Linked DNA regions of Drosophila melanogaster. The protein of the gene in region 2 binds, or shares a complex with, the protein of the main gene of each other region. Each region holds a gene or a part of one and is shown on either strand. Other genes may lie near its edges.

Region 1 (5,098 bases), on a different chromosome or scaffold from region 2:
CAGCACGCGCTCCAGTTGGGCTAGGTTTTTGCGTATTCGGTCTCGCTCCACTTCCGGTTCGGCAATCCTCCGCGGGCGCAATTCCTCCAGTTCGTGGTCCCACTCTCGTACGACAATCTCATTCGGATGGAAGAAGTGCACGAATCCAACACGAGGGGCTGCATCGCCGTAGGGACCACGGGAGGAGCACCATACGTAGTGGACTCCGGGTGGAATCATCTTGACGCCTCGGAAATCCGGACCAATGGTGTAGGCACAAAGATCAATGCCGAATTCCGTGCCCTCGGGTACACCGGCGATGACCAGCACTCCGCCATCAGCCAGGAGGCGTAGGGCTAGCTGCGGATCCATTTTCATGCTGGAGTTGTCCTTGTTCATTGTGAAATATTGTTCGCTTGCAATTATTAGGAAAAAGAAAACAATTGCAAGTGCGGGCCTTTCAGCAAGTTGCCAGATGTGACGGCTATTTCGATAAGTTCTTTCATGTGAGCAGTCTGGCAACACTAGACAAACAATTCTTTCAAGCGGCAAATTCAATTTATATATACTTTTTTTTAAGTAAATCTTTTGTTTGATATAATTACATTGTATTTAGACTTTGTTGATTTTTGTTACAGTGTATATTCTGCATTTACTTAAAATTCTTGCTGTTCTTCACTTTATTGTGTAAGTGGACCATGACTTTATATCTAAACTATATTTATACGTAGTAGTAATTAGTATTGTAAGCTGCGTTTAGTGCCGATATCGTCGAGTATTTGGCGCAGCTCCTCATCCTCGAAGCGACCCTCTAGTGAAGGAATCAGCGCCTTGGCCTCCTCGGGCGCCTCCGGACACAAATTACCCAGTGCCGCCAGTTCGAATTTGTGCAGCTTTTTCTGCATCAGCAAGCTGAATTTGAAATAATTGAATATTACTACTCGTACGTGCTTTGTTCGGTTTTGCTACATTACCTTCGCGCAGACATTATGGTCTCCTTGTTTTTGAACTTTCGAAAACTATCCGTGTAGGCGTACGTCTTCATGAAGACCTCGGAGAACTCTTGCTCCTCGTCGGCGGATTCGTTTTGTCGCTTTCGGTGATCGAGAAGCATGTGCACCTCCGATATCAGCAGCGTCTCGGCATTTTCGAACTCTGAAACAAAGAGAAACGAAAGGGTTTTTTTTTCTTGAATTAGTTACTTGACGACATTCAGGAAATTTACAAGTGAAACATTGGAGAAAAAATTAGCCCTAGCCATAGGACGGTGGTCTGCTGATATGGCCATGTTCCAGCAGAAAATCGTAGATCTGACGCGTTTTGTTCACGTCAATTTTGATGAGACGTCGCGCATCGGCCAGTCGTAGATATCCGAGCTTTGCTTGCTCCGTAACGAGTTGATTCTTGTAGTCCAAATACGACTGCGGAACCAGACGAGCCACACTGCACAACTTTCGCTCGCCATCATCCAGTTTGGAGTAACCAGGCAGATCTGGGATCAAAGAAAAATTATATTCAGTTGGTGTCAGGCAATGAGTAAAGTGTTTCCCACCTCCAATCTCAATGGGACTGGCCTTTCGACGCGTGTTCATCACATATAACTTTGAGTTAATGGCCAGGGGACCAGGATCACCGCTCCTGTTGCTCTCGTAATGCTGCACCAATTGCTGCCAGTCGAAAGCATCTGTTTGCTTCAGCCTGCTGTAATCTCGCTGAGCCTGCTGACGTTCTTTGCTCAAGCGGGCATATAATTTGGCTCCGGAAAGAGTTCGAACGCCGTGCTCCCGCAGATCGTATAGCTTGTGCAGCTGGCTATGCAGCTCCCGATAATAACGCAGAGACTCCAACAGCATATCGAACTTAATGGGGTCAGGACAGATCTGCATGAAGCCCAAGAAACGCATGCAACTCGCATCGCTGCCAAAGGCGTGCACGTACTTGGAAATCCAGCTGACGGTGCGATTGGGCATTATGAGACCGTGTTGCCTCATTATCTTGTAACGACGCTGGCGCTCTCTGTGAGTAAATATGCATATTAGATTTTTTTTAGTAGCTTTCTGTTATAAGATCATACCTGAGGCGATTGTTGTATGCCCGAACTAGTCCGAGTTGCAATTCCTCTGTCACTTCGCGCTCAAACTCACTCTCAGACGCCTCGTTGTCGTCATCCCTGCCCCTATGATCCACCATAATAGATAGCAGACTCTCTGCTGAGGTGTCGTACGGAGTATCGAAGTCTCCTCTTGCACAGCGGTAACCTGCGCTTAGTCTGAACTGCATGGAGGCGATGTCGTCATGACGTGGTGGATCCAAGCTGCGCATTTTGAAGACATACGGCATTCGCTCGGGCACATAGCTGTCCCTCGCATGCTTCAGATTAAGGAGCCGCTCGAATATCCCGCCAAAGTAGCAATCGTGGTAGTGACGACGCACTTCTGCGGGTTCGTGGCGCTGGTCCAGAGCCTGGGAGACCGCCTCCCAGTTGCCATAGCCGTGGGTGCGAAGTGTTTTCAGCAGTATGCGCTCGTCCCGTGCCGTCCAGTGTGGCTCATCGGCGAAAACCTGTATGTTGTCGCGGACTATGATGTAAGCGTGGTTATTGCGGTGAGAAAAGGCCTCCTTTCCACGTGAGAAACATTGCAGGCAGAGCAGGGTGTCGAGGCACTCGGAGCACTTAATGTACGGCTCTGTGAGACTGCAGCGACATGTGGCACACCGATTGGCATCCTTTGTAGCCGATGGAACACTGCTATTCTGGTCCCGCGTCTTTTCCTCCATCTCCTCCAAGTACCTGTGCAACGTGTGCGGATTATACAAAACCATGGAGTTCCTGGTGTGTTCATTCTGATGTGCATGGATGAACCGCTTAACCTGTGGCCCCAGTGGCTCAACTGCAAAGAGGCAATTCAGTGTGGTAAAAATGTGGAGGAGTGCCACTTTTGGGGCACTCGAAGCCAAAGGTTTCAGCCAGTTTCACTTGTAAGTTGCATTTCGGTTGGTGTAGGGCGTTGGTTACCTTTGGGAAACTGCAGGTCGGCGGCGTCCTCATCCACCATATCCACGGGGTTCATAAAAGACATAGTGAGCTAAGAACTGCTCAGTTTGTTAAAGTTTATATTAAGAAATTCTAATTTGCACAATAAAATGTCGCTGTTTTTAGTGATGAGAAAGGCAGGGCTATAACTGGCGAAGAAGCTATCGATAGGTGGGTCGCATCGTGCGTAGATACGTTGGTCACACTAGCAAGCATGTTGAGTTTATCATTCCGGGTGTTTTGATTTTGTTCGGAATTCTTGGTTTTTTTCCAAGAGAGTTATGTCCCTGGTGCCAGAAGCCTCTACCTCGAGAGCGCCCAAGTACTGCTACTTCTTCAAGACCCTGCTGGTGGAGGAACTGGAGCTGGAAACTTCCTACCACAACCTGCACTACGGTCAGTGCGCATTAATTGGACGTCTGGCGTTCAAGGCGAATCAGTACCGCCTAGAAAACGTGCGCGTTAAGTGTTTGCCAAAGTAAGTTTTTCTATATTACCTATCCATCCGGTCCTTACCAATGATGCTGCATCTTTCAGGAAGTACTCCTTGGGCGAGGGCACCGTATCCTTGCTTATTCTTGGCCTTACCCATGACAAAGTCGTCGAAAATCGCGTGAGTACCGGCCGCTACTGCATTGTGCGTGGTGAAGTGGTGCTACATAATGTGCAGCATCCCAAAGGTGCCAAACTGACCGCCGGCGGTGTCTACGACAAGATCAATAGTCTGTCCAACGATCCGTTGGCCCAAAAACAGTATCTCAGCGCGCTACTTGCCACCTACAGACCGGCCATCGACTTATGGTACATCCAGGTCATCGACAGAGCCGAGGACTTGCTGACTCGCAGGCTGGAGATGAGAAGTCTGATCGAGAAATGAACACACACCACCTGACCACCTCGCGAACCAATCCGCAGTTCTATATATTCAGTCAGCTCTTTGGTAACGATTTCGACTGGAATAATTGCAATTGGGGGGGCATTCAAAACGTTACCTGGAAAGAATTCTGGCAGCGTGAGGGGCATGAGCTGCTCGAGCAAAAGTGGCACAAGCGGTTTCCCGAATACAAAGATCTTATCGAGGTGGTTTCGTCGGAGGAGCAAGGCCTTTGGCAGGAACTGTGGGAGAAGCACGCCAGCGATTACAGTGAAAAGTTCTGGTATATATTTAGCTGTGCCTTTGAGAACTACCAACACGATTTGGCCAAATCATTTGGCCTTGACGTCGCTGAAAACTCAGAAGATGTTGAGGAGGACTTGCAGAACCTAAGCCTTACAAATAAGCCAATAAAATCGAAACAGCAAAGGGTCACAGAGAAAGAGGAGGACGAATCATACTTGACTGCCAACGACGATCCCGAGGATTGTGACGAGGAACAACAGCTGCGCCTTCTCGGATTGCCAACATCATTTGCGTCGAAGGCAGATATAATTAATTATAGAAAGGAAAGAAAGACACAGTACGAACTATCTAGCAGCGATAGCGAGGACGATCATGATCTGTTGACCATGGAGAACAACGAAAACGAGGCTCTGCACGGCGTTCAGAGCGGTTCTGTTAAAAAGAAAAAACGACGGCAAAGGCAAATAAAAAAACTCAAGGCCAGGATGCCAGAGTGCATGCAAGAGGATAACAACAAAATGGTCAAGTACTGGGTCAAGCGATTCTCGCTGTTCTCCCGCTTCGATCAGGGCATTCGGCTGGACCGCGAGAGCTGGTTCTCGGTGACACCCGAGAAGATTGCCAAACAAACGGCCCGACGACTGGCCTGCGACGTGATCGTAGATGCTTTCTGTGGATGCGGCGGCAATGCCATTCAGTTTGCAAACACCTGTGGACGCGTAATTGCTGTGGACATCGATGCCGAGAAGTTGGCCATGGCCAAGCATAATGCCGGCATTTATGGTGTGGCCCATAAGATCGAGTTTATCCACGCCGATTTTCTGCAGTTTGCGGCCAGCACAAAGCTGCGCCCAAATGTGGTTTTCCTGAGCCCTCCGTGGGGTGGTCCTGACTACCAAAAGCAGGCCACCTTTGATATCGAAACAGGTCTCCTGCCCGTGGGTGCTAGCCAACTGATGCAGCTG
Region 2 (3,103 bases):
ACAACCTGTACAATACCGCCTTTTGGAAACTCGTTTTGGAAAAAGGCCTGACGAACCAGCAAGCCGAGGCGAAACTCCGTGGCACCTTTTCGGCGGACAAAAATGAGCTGCTCTTCCAGGAATTCGGGATAAATTACAACAATCTGCCGGCAATGTACAGAAAGGGAACGATTCTGCTGAGAAAACGCGTGATATTGGGTGAGAAGAGCAGGCAGGCCGTGGTGCCGCTGCACGAGGATCTGATATCTTCGCAGTTCTGGAAGGAACACACCGAAATATTGGGAAAATATGTGCCAGGCACATACGACGCACCACAAACTTTTCCCCGATTGGTGGAGATGCAAATAAATGGCAAGGATGACAATGAGGCGGAGGAGCCACAAAATCTGGCTGGTACCAGCTGATATAATAACGAATAGTCTTGCATTTTTAAAGATTAAAGTTACGATACATCTAAGGAAGTCGTTTCGGAGATTGAGGATGCGGTGCCCAGGCTGCTGGAGTGAAGGACAAACGGATGATCCGTAATGAAGAGTAGCTAATAGTTGAAAGTTCAACTTATGGCATATATTTTAAGATTAAATCTACACTAAGCTCATAGAAAGACTATTTCCTACTAGTAGTCGTCGTCGTCATCGTCATCGTCATCCTCACTTGGCTTGCTGGCAACGGAGCCGTCTGCCAGCGGTGGTCGCTGCACCATTGCTGCCGCTTGCATGCTCATCCACTGCTGCTGCTCCTCGCGCGCCTGCTCCTCGCGTGCCTTGGCGAACAGCTCCTGCTGCTGGCGCAGCAGCTCCTCCTCCGGAATGCCCAGGTTCTCTAGGCGCGTGCTCTGGCGCCTTCGCTTGGCTGCCACCTCCTTGCAGTCGTGCAGAACGGCCTCCGCCTCTTGTTTGTAGTCGTGAAAACCCAAGCGTTCCAACGCCTCCAGGACGTGCTCTGCGTTTATCGTCTTCTTGTTGCGCATGTTGCACACCTCGTTGGCCTCCGAACTGATCAGATGAATGAACTCTGAGCAGCAGTTGAGTATCAGCTCGCGACTCTCGTTGGCCACCCGCACCGTGGGCACCAGCTCCTTGATGATCTTGTTGATGCTGGCCCGTGGCAGGGTCAGCTCGTCGTCCTCGGCGCTGGGCGGCAGTAGTTCTTCCTGCGGATTCGACATGGCGTCCTGGTTTCAAGGAACAAACAAACAAACAAACTTGGAAGCAGATGTTTTTCTCGGATTTACTAGTATAGTGTGCTAGAGTGGCCGTTTACTGCTAACAGAAAAATGTAATCGAAAAATTATTGTTTTTGTAAATAAATGAAATCATTAATTGATTGAAATGAACTATATAAAGCATATATAGCTAAAAATAAAATATATAAATGATGATATAAAATGATGTATATCATTTATGTATTCAACACAAATTTAATGGCTTAATAATCTTTGATTAATTTGATTTTGATGAATATTATAAATAATACAGCCTTTTTTTAAATGGCAGACTTTTCAAATAAAAGAATAATTTTTTTATAATTCCTACCATTATTTATATAAATAGTTTTTTTTTTTTTATTTGAAAAACCAAATGTACTGTTCTTTTTAAAACTCCACTCTTCGTTTAGTATATTTTTAAGTGTTTAGTATTTTTTTAAGTGTACTTAAGCGGCTAAGCAACGGTCACTTTGAGAAATAGAAAACAAAAAGTTGAGCTGTTTAAATTCCGGCTTATTATTAATATATTACCACAAAATGGGGGACTACGATTCCGATGATGAAAAATCACAGGTGGAGAAGCTGCGCCACGCCAAAGTGCCGCGCGGAATGTTCGTGAGCGGCTGGGACGACGATGCCGACGAACTGATCGAAGAGGACAAGAACCCACAAAGTAAGTAGAATACATTTTAGAGAAATAGTTTAATTAAACATCATCATAGGCAGCATTGAACGCATGATTCTGTGGGCGGTGAACGAGAACCGCATCAGCGAGGTGCGGGAAATCCTAAAACTGGACGCAGACACCGTGAACGCCAAGGATAACGACGGATACACGCCGCTGCACCGAGCTGCCTATAATAACTTTGTGGATATGGCCAAGTTGCTGCTGCAGTACCATGCCAATCCCAACGCCCGCACGGAGCTGGGATGGACGCCATTGCACTCCGCCTGCAAGTGGAACAATGCGGATTGCGCCCATTTGCTGCTGCAGTTTGGCGCCGATGTAAATGCGGAATCGGACGGCAAGCAGACGCCGCTTCACATAACCGCCACTGTGTCCAATTGTCGGAATACGGCCACGGTCCTTCTGCTGGACCGATACATCCAGCCGCGCAAGGAGAACAACTCCGAGGAACTGGCCTCGGTGATTGCCCGTCGTACTGGCATGAGTTTTCCCATTTTCGAGTCCGGCGAGGAAGCCTACGACTGCGAAACGGGACTGATAGATTAATCACTTAATAGTCAAACTATGCGCATACTTATAGAATAACTAATATAATATGTTTATTTCATAAATAATGTTTTCTGTCGATGGAATTGGTAGACACCACGATTTTCAGCTGGCTGGCGCTGGAGCCCTCACGAAATGCTCGTAGAATGACTTAGTGTAGTTGATCATCTCGTCCTGCATGGCGGCGGGCACAAAATACGGATTGCCCTGGCCACCCTCGATGGTTCCCCTCGCCGTGTAACGCATGTAGCTGGACACGGTAGTTTCTGGCGGCAGGACAGCCCCATCCTCAATTACACAGCAGTCTTTCAAAACACAGCGACGGCCCTGAAAGATGGTAAAAGTAAATGGATTACAAGGGTATAACAATAAGTAATAGCTTACTATGATGGCATTCTTGCCGATGTACACATAGGATCCAATGGTGGCCGCCGAGACGACTGCTCCTTCGCCAACGAAAACATGCTCACCGACGTGCATGGGAAAGAAGGCGATTCCCTTGCTGAATTGTTTGTACGGCGGTCGGATGACGGAGTTCTTGCCAATCACACAATATCTTCCCGTCCGGACATTGGCCAGATCGCCGCGAATGATGGCGCCGCTCTGTACGATCACCTTGCCGTTCAAAATAATGTTTTGGGAACCACAGAGCACCGTGTGGC
Region 3 (4,111 bases), on a different chromosome or scaffold from region 2:
GGAACTAGCTACAGCATCGCCATTTGCCTGTGCCTCCTTTACAAGCTCGTGAATATCCGGCCAGGATAATTGACTGGCAATAGCTGACTGAACAGCCCGAATTGCATTATCCACCAGACTTTGATTGGACGTTATTAGCTCTGCTTTCTTTCTGTCCACATCTTGGACTTTTGTCAATTCCTCTAGACGCTTTGCGTGGTCATTCTTGACATTAGACAGCTTTTTTAGTGCCTCACGCTCTTGCTGTAGCGTTTTCATGTCAATCTTTTGCGACTCTTGCGTAGAGTAAAATTCATCAACGGCTTCCATAAAGGACTCAAATGTGGCCTTTTCAAAGTTTTTGAATTGAATAAAGAGGTAGGGATGAAATTCGATGTTTCTAAAGAAAAACTCCACCGTTCCATTCTCTGTAGGCTTTTCCTCTTTAACTTGAATAATGTAGCCTTTACTTTTTCCACTATTTCCCTCAGCTATAAGCTCTTGAGCATCCTAAAAGATTGCACAGAACGTTTTATTTACTTTAACAGCAATAATAAATATTTCCACGATATTGTTCTTACCTTTACTGCTTGCTGAAGAATTGGCAAGTCATTAACCATGTCAAATGGTTTCTGTTCCAGTTTCGTATTCTGTTGCTTCTTACGTTGCTTTTTACCGCCCTTCTCCGGCTTGTCCTCCGCCTCCGGCGTTTCTTCCGTTGTTTCCTTTTTGATAACGTGATTGTCCAAGCCGTGTGAGAGGAGAACATGCTCTATAACTGCCGGACCACAGTCCAAGTTGGGTGTTAGAATCTGTCGCAAATAGTCGCCGTTCCTGGCATTTTCCAACAGCTTAACCAAAGCTTCCAGTTCCAGTTCCTTCGTGGGCTGTTTGGCCCGTTCCACGGGATATTTCTCGCGCATGGCGAAGCGCAGGTTCTCGCCCTCCGTATGCGGACGCAAAATATATAACGTGGTCAGCTCGTAGTCGGTGAGGATCACATTACCACGATCGTAGAGCTCCAAAATAACATGGTAGGCGGCATCACCGGTACCGAACTGAAAGTCAACAATACGATCGCTACCCATCTGTTGAACCTTTTCCAGGCGCTTGTTCTTCAAGTGCTTCCTCAACTTCATGCTGAAACCGGACGGAGCCATGTTCTTGGGCCATTCGAACCTAGTGGTATGGAATCTTGTACCAGATTCTATTAGCAGAGTGACCTTCTCCACTGCACCGGTCCCTTGCATCCGGAAGAGGTAGGTCTTGTTATCCACGTCATAGATCTGATTCACTCGCCAGCCGACCAGCCTGGAATATAAATGTAGATGTACCATTATTCCTGGGCATCGGAATTATCCGGATTTTTTACATACTTTTGCAGTTCCGCCACTCCGCAGATTATATCGAAGGTATTGAAACGTGTCTTCATGGTTCTTTATGGAAAGTTGACGATGTCAACACGGAAAGTGAAGAAAAAAGAATCTATCTGGCAACTTAACTTATCATTAAATATTCACAAGTTCGCTATCTACGTTAGATAAGTTAAATTAGTTTAATAGGGAATAATAACAATTTTATTCACTTGCGAAATTAAGTATCGGTGTAAATTGCGATGGACGAACTTTAAACAAAATATATCGATTGTATGCTGTTGATGATTCGGATTGTCAGAATGAATTCGCTGTATAATTACTATGTATTAAATATTTGTATTGTTTATGCAATGAGTAAGAAGCTTCTTTGATTTATCTAAAAAGTTATTAAGCATTTAATAAAGTTTCAGTCAGCTGTTTCCCTTTCCGTGGACTATTCCACTTCGTTCCGATAAGAAATCGATACATAGGTAGTCGGAAAATGGAACTGCTGTGTCATCGCCAATCTTCATTTGTAAATATGAATGCGGATGGACCTGTTGTCAACGTGCACGTGTTGTTCTTTGCTAAATCCCGTGAATTAGCAAACACTCCCCGGTCGACAGTGGAAGTTCCTACTGAAATTACTGCCACCGAACTGCTGGACCACCTGGTGTCCAAATTTGGCCTGACCTCCATCCGGGATAACTTGATTTTGGCCCACAACGAGTCGTACATTGACAACCTGAGTGATAGAATTCTGTTTAAGGAAGGAGACGAACTCGCCATCATACCGCCACTGAGTGGAGGCTAACCTTTCCGCCATGGATCACGTGAAATTGGTAAACGACCCCATAGATATCGCTCATATCCATCAGTTGCTGGCCGATGAAGGCTGTGGAGCCTCATCCGTTTTCGTGGGCACTACGCGCGATAATTTTCAAGGGAAAAAGGTGGCTTCATTATCTCAATCAATTGATTTCATTGATTCATTTGTACTTTTCGACCTTTCAGGTGCTGTCATTGGCGTACGAGGCCTACGATAGCATGGCACTCAAGGAAATGAATAAAATATGCTCAGATCTCCGATCTAAGTGGCTCGATCTGAAGCACATAGTCATATATCATCGATTGGGAACAGTGCCCGTATGCGAAGCCAGTGTAGTTATAGCCGCCTCGTCACCACATCGTTCTGAGGCCTTAGAATCAGTATCTTTTGCAATAGACCAGCTAAAAACTCGGGTTCCCATCTGGAAAAAGGAAATCTACGACGGCGATAACGACAGCGAATGGAAGGAGAACAAGGAGTCCATCAGGCCTAGTAAGATCTTATGAGTAGCCAGCATGACATGTATTCTTATTATTTGTACACTTGTAAATATAATTAACAATCGAGCGTTTACGATTTTATTGGCTTCTCTCTCATCTGTGCATGTACATTGTAGAGAAATCGAAAAGTGGCTTCAACTACGCCGCTTGTCCCTGCAAAGTTGAGGAGTCACATGACGTCCCGCGAACTCTGGTGCAAATTAGAGTTAATGACGCTGAGTTAACCAAGCGTTTAGAATGTTTTGTCAACAGAAAACGAGACGAAATAAACTCACAAAATGTAATTGACTTCAAATCGTCTTTTGTCAGCTCAGACCAAAACTTGAGCGATTCCTGCGCTCGAACGCAGAGCACAATTATTAAGCAGGAGCAGTCAAATTGCCATTTAAAAGGTGGGTAAACGATGCTCTATTTTCATAACTATAGCCACTTTGGTCTACAAACAACCTATCACAGTCCGACGAGTAAACAACCGATGCGGACCTCAGCAAATGGAAATGCGACCCAACTACGAACTCGAACTGAATAAACTAATGGGATCGCGTGACGGTCAAACGGATCCAACCAAAGAAATGAGGAAATCGCTACCCAATTCACGACTACAGGCAATTGAATCGTACATGGGTCTAACCACCGACAACGAGGAAAACATTTTCAGTAGAATCAAACGAGTGGAAAATAGACTGCTGCAACTGGAGTCCATTTCGCCCGAGTACAGACACTTCGTAGGTTCTTAAAACATTTCCTGTAATTGCAGTTCTAAAAAAATTCAATCTATTCTCAGACCAAACGTGAACCGTCATCTATGGAAGCCGCGCCGCCGAAGAAGAGCCGAAAGAAATCGTATTCGGCGCAAGAATTAAGTGCATTCATTCAAAAGATTAAGGATGGCAGCGAATTAAGCTAATAAAAACCTAATTAATTATTATTCCTTGGTTTGTAATTGATGTAAATTTATTTCAACATTCCAACTATTTGTAATAGTTTTTTTTATGCGTAAATGATGAGAGTGAAAAATGCAAAAATTTTTGTTTACAACTAAGGAATATGGATAAGCGTGGCTGATTTGTTTCTGTTTATTAATCGGTCGTCAAGCTTCATAGATCGCGCCCGAAAATCTAATGGTTATTTGTTAACCGAAGGACCAGCTTACTAATTATTTAATACGCGAAATTATTAAATCTTATTGTTGTTCTCAACTCCTAGCACAGAGTGGGGAATTGAGCTTCATCGTCAACCTTCAGTGGCTTCTGGGCGGAGCGGCGTTTCTCTCCGAATCTGTTGTTGTCTTGTCTGTTTTCATAGCCGTTGCTGGGTCCGTTGTTAAAGCGGGGACCACGGAATCCCTCTCCACGCGGTCCGTCATTGCGGTAGCCTTCTCCACGCGGTCCCTCATTGCGTGGACCCTCTCCGCGAGGTCCGTCGTTGCGATAACCACCTTCTCCGCG

The links. The genes of interacting proteins can lie anywhere in the genome.
Region 1: NC2beta (region 2) and Ada2a share a complex: the UniProt entries of both Drosophila melanogaster proteins name them as parts of the ada2a-containing (ATAC) complex.
Region 3: NC2beta (region 2) and Mocs2B share a complex: the UniProt entries of both Drosophila melanogaster proteins name them as parts of the ada2a-containing (ATAC) complex.

Annotation. Positions count from the first base shown.
Region 1 is NT_033777.3:18,252,322-18,257,419, forward strand, and holds Ada2a (transcriptional adaptor 2a), read right to left. Parts: upstream 3,167-5,098; 5' UTR 3,060-3,166; coding exon 2,996-3,059; intron 2,916-2,995; coding exon 2,054-2,915; intron 1,996-2,053; coding exon 1,233-1,995; 3' UTR 1,135-1,232; coding exon of another isoform or gene 954-1,134; intron 892-953; coding exon of another isoform or gene 717-891; 3' UTR 522-716; downstream 1-521. Other genes in the region: CG12320 (uncharacterized protein), read right to left, coding at 1-378; Polr2D (RNA polymerase II subunit D), read right to left, coding at 717-891, 954-1,134, 2,996-3,059; moi (modigliani), read left to right, coding at 3,295-3,491, 3,551-3,890; Tgs1 (trimethylguanosine synthase 1), read left to right, coding at 3,887-5,098. UniProt on the Drosophila melanogaster protein: Component of the histone acetyltransferase (HAT) complex ATAC; predominantly involved in acetylation of histone H4, including at Lys-6 (H4K5ac) and Lys-13 (H4K12ac).
Region 2 is NT_033779.5:15,005,983-15,009,085, reverse strand, and holds NC2beta (negative cofactor 2beta), read right to left. Parts: upstream 1,274-3,103; 5' UTR 1,169-1,273; coding exon 617-1,168; 3' UTR 548-616; downstream 1-547. Other genes in the region: THG (tRNA-histidine guanylyltransferase), read left to right, coding at 1-404; Ankrd49, read left to right, coding at 1,745-1,880, 1,930-2,441; DCTN5-p25 (dynactin 5, p25 subunit), read right to left, coding at 2,547-2,768, 2,826-3,103. UniProt on the Drosophila melanogaster protein: Bifunctional basic transcription factor. Activates transcription of DPE (Downstream Promoter Element) containing promoters while repressing transcription of promoters which contain TATA elements.
Region 3 is NT_033777.3:25,125,111-25,129,221, reverse strand, and holds Mocs2B (molybdenum cofactor synthesis 2B), read left to right. Parts: upstream 1-1,862; 5' UTR 1,863-1,875; coding exon of another isoform or gene 1,876-2,148; 5' UTR 2,149-2,158; coding exon 2,159-2,287; intron 2,288-2,348; coding exon 2,349-2,655; intron 2,656-2,779; coding exon 2,780-3,055; intron 3,056-3,119; coding exon 3,120-3,388; intron 3,389-3,447; coding exon 3,448-3,570; 3' UTR 3,571-3,590; downstream 3,591-4,111. Other genes in the region: Clbn (caliban), read right to left, coding at 1-489, 561-1,290, 1,356-1,411; Mocs2A (molybdenum cofactor synthesis 2A), read left to right, coding at 1,876-2,148; vig2, read right to left, coding at 3,866-4,111. UniProt on the Drosophila melanogaster protein: Catalytic subunit of the molybdopterin synthase complex, a complex that catalyzes the conversion of precursor Z into molybdopterin.